Linked DNA regions of Mus musculus. The protein of the gene in region 1 purifies or fractionates together with the protein of each later gene. This does not show direct contact. Links are inferred from orthologs where the notes say so. Each region holds a gene or a part of one and is shown in the gene's direction. Other genes may lie near its edges.

The links. The genes of interacting proteins can lie anywhere in the genome.
Region 2: the proteins of Kif23 (region 1) and Shcbp1 purify together in Homo sapiens (affinity purification with western blotting; 9 studies listed by BioGRID and IntAct, with this or other methods). This does not show direct contact. The link is inferred for Mus musculus from reciprocal best matches to the Homo sapiens genes KIF23 and SHCBP1.

What each region holds. Positions count from the first base shown.
Region 1 is NC_000075.6:61,943,713-61,948,284, reverse strand, and holds the start of Kif23 (kinesin-like protein KIF23), read left to right. Parts: upstream 1-1,485; 5' UTR 1,486-1,662; coding exon 1,663-1,673; intron 1,674-2,865; coding exon 2,866-2,935; intron 2,936-3,953; coding exon 3,954-4,082; intron 4,083-4,572.
Region 2 is NC_000074.6:4,735,189-4,738,658, reverse strand, and holds the end of Shcbp1 (SHC SH2 domain-binding protein 1), read left to right. Parts: intron 1-2,251; coding exon 2,252-2,565; 3' UTR 2,566-2,683; downstream 2,684-3,470. UniProt on the Homo sapiens protein: May play a role in signaling pathways governing cellular proliferation, cell growth and differentiation. May be a component of a novel signaling pathway downstream of Shc. Acts as a positive regulator of FGF signaling in neural progenitor cells.

The sequences.
Region 1 (4,572 bases):
CCCTCCAGTGTCCTTCAGTGAGAGCCTCCACCGCTTTCAACGCTTAGGGCCATGCCCATAGTGGTAAGCACCGAGCGTGCAACAGTGCCATCTAGCGAGGCTGAAGAGGATACGCTGGGAGAGGACTCCGTAAACAGGGGCCGGGCACCGCGTGGGGTGATGCTGAAATCAACGGTGCAGTGAGGGGCGGCAGGGGCTCTGGGATCCAGAGAAGGTGAGGCATTCTCCGAGGAAAGGAAGGCTGAGAGACAGCAGAGAGACTCGAGTGTGGGGGCAGAAACGTTCCACGCATGAGCGTTGGGCTTGGGACAGGTGAGAGGTGACGCAACTGAACAGGAAGACTAGCCTCAGGGCCCCACTGAGGGTCTCAAGCAAAGGGCGATGACCCACCCTAGGGCTCTCCCAGACCTGTGACTTATAGGTGAGAGTGCAGTCAAATGGATCGGTTTTGGAAAGTGATGGTGGCAAAGCCTGGTAGCTTTCTATCTGCTTCTGGAAATTTATCCATGGATGCATTTTCAGGTTTATTCATCGAAGCAGTTTGCAACAGTAAATATTGGAAAGACTAATGTCCAGTAATATGGACATTAACTATGGATATTAAACTGGCTATCCTTATCAGTGCTGGCCCTAAAGGAAGTTCTAAGTGGAGCTTGAGTCACAGAACGCAGGTGTGGCTACATCCCTGGGGAATCGTCAGCATGGGGGCTGGGATTAAATGAGAAAGAATCAACTTGTAGAAGGCAAAGGGTAAACGGTGGTTGCACAAGGGCAGTGGGTAGATTTTATGCATCTCTGTATATCCAGGAAACATCAAAATCAAGAATTTGAAGGTTAAGGATGTGTGGCTTAGTGGTATCACCTTTGCCTAACATTGTGAGGCTCTAGGTTTGATCACTAGCACCATGAAACACACACACACACACACACACACACACACACACACACACACACAGAGAGAGAGAGAGAGAGAGAGAGAGAGAGAGAGAGAGAACTGGAGAATCCAGAGAAAGGAACTTACAACAGGTTGTCTGCCAAGTTGGTATAGTCTTCAAGATCATTCTGGGGTCCTCACTGTAAGTGTGAGGCCAGCCTGGGATACAAGATACTCTCGTCTCAAAATAAATATCAAAAGTAAGATAAAATGTAAACGTAGAACTAAAAGTAAAGGTAAAAATAAAATATAAATACAATAAAATGAATAAGATGATGTGGTAGCCAGCGGCCAGCCTGAAATTAGAACATGCCCGACCAAGGCTTTACTTCCTTAGAGGTTCTCAGGACAAAGACTGGGAGATCTCAGCTTCTGCGTCAGAACGGAAGGGCGGAAGGGCCGGGATTTCCCCTCTCAGGTTTTTCTCCAGCGCTGCCCTCCTCAGCCTCCGGCTGGCGCCCTTGGGTTGCCAAGGAGACGAGCGCCCCTGCTGGCCGTGCCAGCGCTCCCCGAGGCCCCGCCCCTTCGCCGCAGGCGGCCGCTGATTGGCCTGTTTGAAATGCGCCGGGCGGGCGCACACTTGGGCTTGCAGCGTCGCCGCCGGGCTCTCCTCAGATTGAGTCCTGGTCCCCGCGGCCGTGGTTTGCTCGGCTTAGTTCCCGCCAGCCTTGCTCCTGTCGGAGCCCGACGTCCCGCGCGCGCGTCAGGATAGCACGGAGCCTGCGGTCATGAAGTCAGCGTGAGTACTGGTGGGAGGACTGCGTGGGGGTCGCCGCCCTCCTCACGCTGAGACTGGGGACTGCCCGGGAGCTGAGTCCGTAGTACAGTGTAGGCCGAAGCTCCGCACTGCAGAGTTCTGGTGGCTGGCGACCCTGGTGTGCCGGCGCCCTCCCAGTCCTCTGAGCCCGCGAAGGCTGCCTCCGAATCCGGGGCTGTCTGCCACCACCTCCTCGGGTTGCCATCCTTTGGGCTGCCCATCCCTCCCCAGCTTCCTTCCTCCCCGCCCGCTGCGCAGGTGGCAGGTCTGGGGACCCCGGGCGGCGCGCAGCCGGGGTGCGCGCTGGCACTTTGGGGGAGTTGAGCCTCCACAGCTCCGTCGGCATCCCTTCCCTAGTTCTAGCCTTGAGGTCAGGGTCCTTCTGCAGCTCCGCCACCTTGCGCTATCTTTGTCCCCAGGCCATCCCACACGCCTACTCTATCTCCCACGCCCACATTCCTCAGTATTCCTAGACTCTTCAGGAGAGCCACATCCTGGTTACACTTTTACTGCGAAGGAGGGCTGGCTTTAGAAATCGTTACTTTCACACGCACACACACGAAAAAAAAAAAAAACGGAACTTTTTAAAATGAGGAAACGTCAGTCTTTATATTTACTTAAGGATACCTACCCTAGTATATCGCTGGACTCTGGTTTGCTTCTAGTTTACGTGTGACTCTATTGAGAAAAGTACTTTAATAATCTACAGTCTAAACGAGTCTTTTGGTTTAATTTGTGTTAAATATTCTTGTAGCCTATAAACGAGAAAGGAAAAAAAAGTTAAATGATAGAGAATGTTGAAATAAAATAATTTTTTATATTGTTTACTTAAAATAGCAAGACATTTCAGCATTGTGAATAATCTAATCTTCCTACATAGCATGAGCAAATCTCTGAATTTGCACTCCAACACTTAAAAAAAATACAAACAAAAGTTCCACTGAGTACTAATGGTATCAAAAGTGTATTTTCCCAATTGAAATTTTAATGAGTTAAATTACATATACCACATTTCTCGAGTACAGTTTATTGTTTATATACATGTTATTTGCTGTGCGGTATTTGAGATTGCTGGGAAATGATTTTTTTAAGCCTTAGGAAGTTCATTGTTAGAATTTGTGATGTCTTCTATGTTAGTGTTGAATTTATGGCTTTTTTTTCTCTTTTTAACCAGGAAGGCTAAGACGGTCAGAAAACCTGTAATAAAAAAAGGATCTCAGACAAACCTTAAAGATCCAGTGGGGGTAAGGTGTGTGTGTGTGTGTGTGTGTGTGTGTGTATTTTCTTTCTTTAGTCCACTTCTTGTATGTGTGTGCTTGAAAGGGGAGGAAAGCAATATGAAAGTCGGGTTAAAGAGCACGCAGTTAAACCGATGCACTGAATTGTATAAAGCTGGGTTTAGCTGGGAAGTTTGCTTTCTGTAAAGGGACTCTTTAGTTGTTGACTGCAAACCTACTATCACTAATTAGATTTGAAAGGTTAAATGGTCTCTCCCAGCAGGTTCTACTCTTTGGGGTGGGGATGGGTGGGGACTTTTTCCTCAAGTCTTAGCCCTCTCCCACCTGTGTGTGGTAACTGACACGTACTCAAAGTTCATAGAGACTAGTGCAGAATAACTGGATTTAGTTAGTACCTCTTCCTGAAAAGAAGTTTCTGAATATCCCCTCCATCCCCCCACTGCCACTGCAGAGGGTCTCTGGCTCCCAACTGTACCACCTGCTGTGAACACAGCTATACAGGGTTTCCCCAAATGAGGTCCTCTACCCTCCAGATGCTGTGATTACAAAGTGAGCTACCATGCCCACCTGAGCTGGCTGTTGGAAATAACACCCAACTCTAAAGAATTTAATGGCTTTTTCAGCTATTCAGAGAGATTTTTATGTTGTTGCAATTTTATTTGTGCACAACAGTGAAGAGATTACGGTTCAGTTTAATATTTTAACCTAAACTTATTTTGATTTAATGCACCTTTGCATTTGATCATTCTGAGCTGTAGATTTGTTTTTTGTGACTCAGGAATTTATGTTTGTAGGCGAATAAACAGAACTTAAATGGAAAGTCAAGTGTGTGCTGAACATTCACAGAGGTGCTTGCCTAGAGTCCCAGCATCCTGGAGACTAGCAGGCAGATTGCTGAGAGCTCCAGTCCACCTTGGCCTACAGACTGAGAACTTGTGTCTCAACAAACGAAACAAACAGAAAAGCCAAAAAGAAAAATCAGGCAAAAAGTCAACCTTGTTTGAACACCTCTTTCTTTTTCCAGGTGTACTGTAGGGTTCGCCCCCTGAGCTTTCCTGACCAAGAATGCTGTGTGGAAGTGATCAATAGTACAACCCTGCAGCTCCACACTCCTGAGGGCTATCGACTCAACAGAAATGGGGACTATAAGGAGGTAGGTTCCTAGTGGAAGGAACCAAATTGTTTTCAGTTTTGGATTTAAAAATTCATGTGTGATCTCATTTGTGGGAAGGAATACTTTAGCCACCTTATCTAAAGTGTCTTTCATTTCTAGGACGTGCAGATAGAGTTTTGGAATGATGGAATTATCCGGTTGCTTTCAGGGGATGATGATGATTCTTCTTCTTTTCCTCTTCTTCCTCTTCTTCCTCCTCTTCCTCCTCCTCCTCCTCCTCCCTCTCTCTCCTTTTGGTTTTTTTTTTGTTTGTTTCCTTTTGTATTTTTGAGGCAGGGTCTTACTGTGTAGCCCTGGCTATCCTGAAACTCATTATATAGACTAGGCTGGTGGCTTGGAACTCACAGAGATCTGCTTGCCTCTGTCTTCTGAGTGGTAGGATGATTAAAGGCGTGTGTCACCATCAGCTGACTTTCAGAGGATATCTTAAAACTGGATATATAAAACTTCACAGACTATGCCGGGGCCT
Region 2 (3,470 bases), on another chromosome or scaffold:
GTCTTCTTGGCTTCTTGCGTATAAAACAAAATGACTTCTGTAGATATTTGTGGAGGATAGAAGTAAGAAATGAATTTTCTAAGTTTGAAGTTTCTTTTGCGTTTACTTTTCATTGGTAAATGAAAAGTTTCTCTCAGTTACCACTTTTCCTGACAGAAAAGGAAAGCACACACAGTGGAAATTTGTAAATCTCAAGCCACTGATGTGTAAATCACTTTTAAATATAAGACCTAAAGAAGTAAAAAGTACTAGTATGGCTGTGGAAATTTGAAGTGGTTTGAAGAATAGGCCTTGTCATCCTTCAGGAGCCCTTCCAGTCAGGACAGAACAAAGAACAGCTGAGATGCATGTGGAAGAGGCCCTTACCTTTTAAGCTCTGGAGGACGAATCTACACCCAATGCTACTCGTGTCATTCGTCTGCAGAGTCCGTGGTATAGATCTTAGGACTAAGCTTGGCTGGAATCATTCTGTAGCCCCATTGATTAAGATACACAGATTCAAGCTTATGCTTTGAATCTTCTGCAGCCAGCTAGGAAAAACAAAAACAAAAAACTTGCCTAGATAGGCTTAATCACATTAGAAGATAATAATAACATTGGAAGATAATAACAAAATATTTTTGCATTTAGCAATCATGAGAGTGTCAGGAGCTATCTAGGAAAGGCTAAGGCTAGCAGATGACCTTTCTCAAGGTGACCCACCATTTTTGCATGGGTGAGCTCTGAGAGGCAAGGTCCCTAGGCACTTCATCTCAGGATTGCTTCTTGCAGCTGCTATACCTTTCCTGTCACTATTATATAGCCTAAGGATTCCTGGGCATTAACCTACCACTGTTGAGCAGATTTCCTGCAGATCAACATAAAGGCGAACTTTCATAATTGCTGTTTAGATGAATTAATGATAGAATTCCTGATTTGATTCAAATAATCTTAGGAAGAAAGTTTTAAGATGGTTTTATTTGTTTTACTAGAAATATGTAATAAAATTAGAATCAAGAATGAAATATGCCCACTTCTCATAAATAGTAAGTAAGAGCTACATAATAAGCAATACAATGAGCTTTTATAATTACACTAAAAAACCATATATGCTTGGGAGAAATTTGTGTTAAAGCAAAAACATTCAGGTGCAAGGATGAAGCCACAAGTGTGCACTATGATAAGGCAAGGCCATGTAAAGACTTTTGCGTTGAACTTATAATGAGCTTACAATGTGAAACAGTGCTTTGTACTTATTATTAATACTTCTCTGTAACTCCCCTTTCATGTAACATTTTATCTATGAGGTAATTCTTACATAGAGAACTTTTTGTCTAAAAAGCTATGAAAAAAAAAAAGCTGAAAGTAATAAAGACAGATGGTGTAACTAGTTTCCACCTCACCTGGTGTGTGTGTTGTCTGTGTGAGTGGCTTTTTTCCTTTCCGTTCTTCTCTCTCTGGTTCAAAAAGACGTAATGAGCTTTCTGGCCAGTGAGAGGCTTCTTAGCTGACTGGCCAGAGACAAAAGCACTAGCAATAAATCCTTTTCATAATTGCCCAGCACTTGTTCAAGCACAGAGAGTTAGAGCAAAAGGAAGCCAGTGGTTTTCATCCAGAAAATAAGCAAGAGAGTGTTAAGTTTGCAGAAGCCATCAGCTTCTAGCCCCCAGAGTTACAGAGCTGGAGATCATCCAACTCTGTGTTCCACCTCAACTCCAAACCCCAGGAGGCCAGGGCAGGCCACCAGCATGAGAGTACAACTCTTTTTTTCTTTCTTTTTTTTTTTTTTTTTTTTAATTTGGTTTTACAAGACAGGGTTTCGCTGTGTAGCCCTGGCTGTCCTGGAACTCTGTAGACCAGGCTGGCCTCAAACTCAGAAATCCACCTACCTCTGCCTTCCAAGTGCTGGGATTAAAGGCATGCGCCACCACGCCTGGCTGAGAGTACAACTCTTGAGGATGGGAACTAGCTAGTAGATTGTGAGTTTAACAACTAGCTCCCAGTACATAGCTTAGCAGATAGTAAATATCTAGGAACATATCTGTCCAGTGACTGAGATTTTAGGATGAAGAAGGTAAACAAAGTTTAAAATTAATGACCCTATTAATGAAACTTTGCAAGAAGATCTAAGTAGCTACTCATTGAGATTTTTATAGTAAAGAAATTCTATAAACTCTTGGCAGAAAATACTTGAATCTAAAAGACTGTATTAGAAATATCTCCTTGTTTGTTTAAACTGTATGTTTAACTTCATTATAATTTGTTTCCTCAGACAATATGGTTCAGAAAAATAAAGAGGCAGATGTCACTGAAGGATTAGATCTGGAAGAAATGCTTCAGTGTGTGGCTAGCAAAATGGAGCCTTATGCCACAGCTGACTTTAATGAACAAGCTAAGGGAAACTGTGAAATTATAAATGAACTACTTGCTATTTCCATGCAAAAAGGCCGGATGAAGAAAAGACTGAGTGAACTTGGGATTACACAAGCTGATGACAACATAATGTCACAGGAGATGTTTATTGAAATTATGGGGAACCAGTTTAAGTGGAATGGCAAAGGGAGTTTTGGCACATTTCTTTACTAGCTACAATAATATCAATACTCACAAAATACTGTATTTTGAACATGTCTTAAGTATGCTGCTTATATACTTTGCTTCATTTGCTTCATGGCTGTGTATTATATAAAGTGTACTTGATTAAGCTTGTGTGAAATGTGGATTTATTTCTATCTATATGTATTACATACAAAGCACACCTTTGTAAGAAAGCCACAAAAAACATAAAATATGACTGTAGATGTAGTGAAGGAAGATGAAATATTGTAACTTGTGAGTTGTCTAGGAGCCAGCGGCCCTGGCCTGGGGCTGAGAACAAAGCAGAACAGGCCCAGGCATGCCAGGGCAAGGCTGTTGTTAAGGCATTCCTAAGAACATCTTGACAGTAAAGATGGAAAGGTATGCAAGGACAAACAGGGCTATATTATCTGAGTCAACACCATCTGGCCGGAACCTCCCCTCAATCCGAGGACAAGCAGGGCTATCTTGTCTGAGTCAACACCATCTGGCCGGAACCTCCCTTCTGTCTATTACCCCTTGGCGCCGGGTAAAGTCATACATCAACTGGTTGTTATGTGAACAAAGATAAGCCCCAAGCCCACCGGAACAAAGTCCTGATGCCCCTTTTTGCTGACATATAATCTTTCTGTTAATATTTTAATGAGCCAATCCAGTACCTTTGCTAAAATTCCTCTTACCCCTAACCCTTTGCTTCTATTAAAAACCCCTAGCTTCCGAGCCCCAGTGTTGACTTCCCTGCCTCCTGTGTGAGGTACATGTTGGCCCAGAGCTCTGCCAATAAAGCCTCATGTGTCTTGCATCAAGAAGGATTCTTGTGTTAGTGGGTGCATCCTGTCCCTGGACTAGAGTGGGGGTCCCCATATCTGGGGTCCCACAGTAGTTCAGTAGTAGAGCATTTGTCTAACATGTCC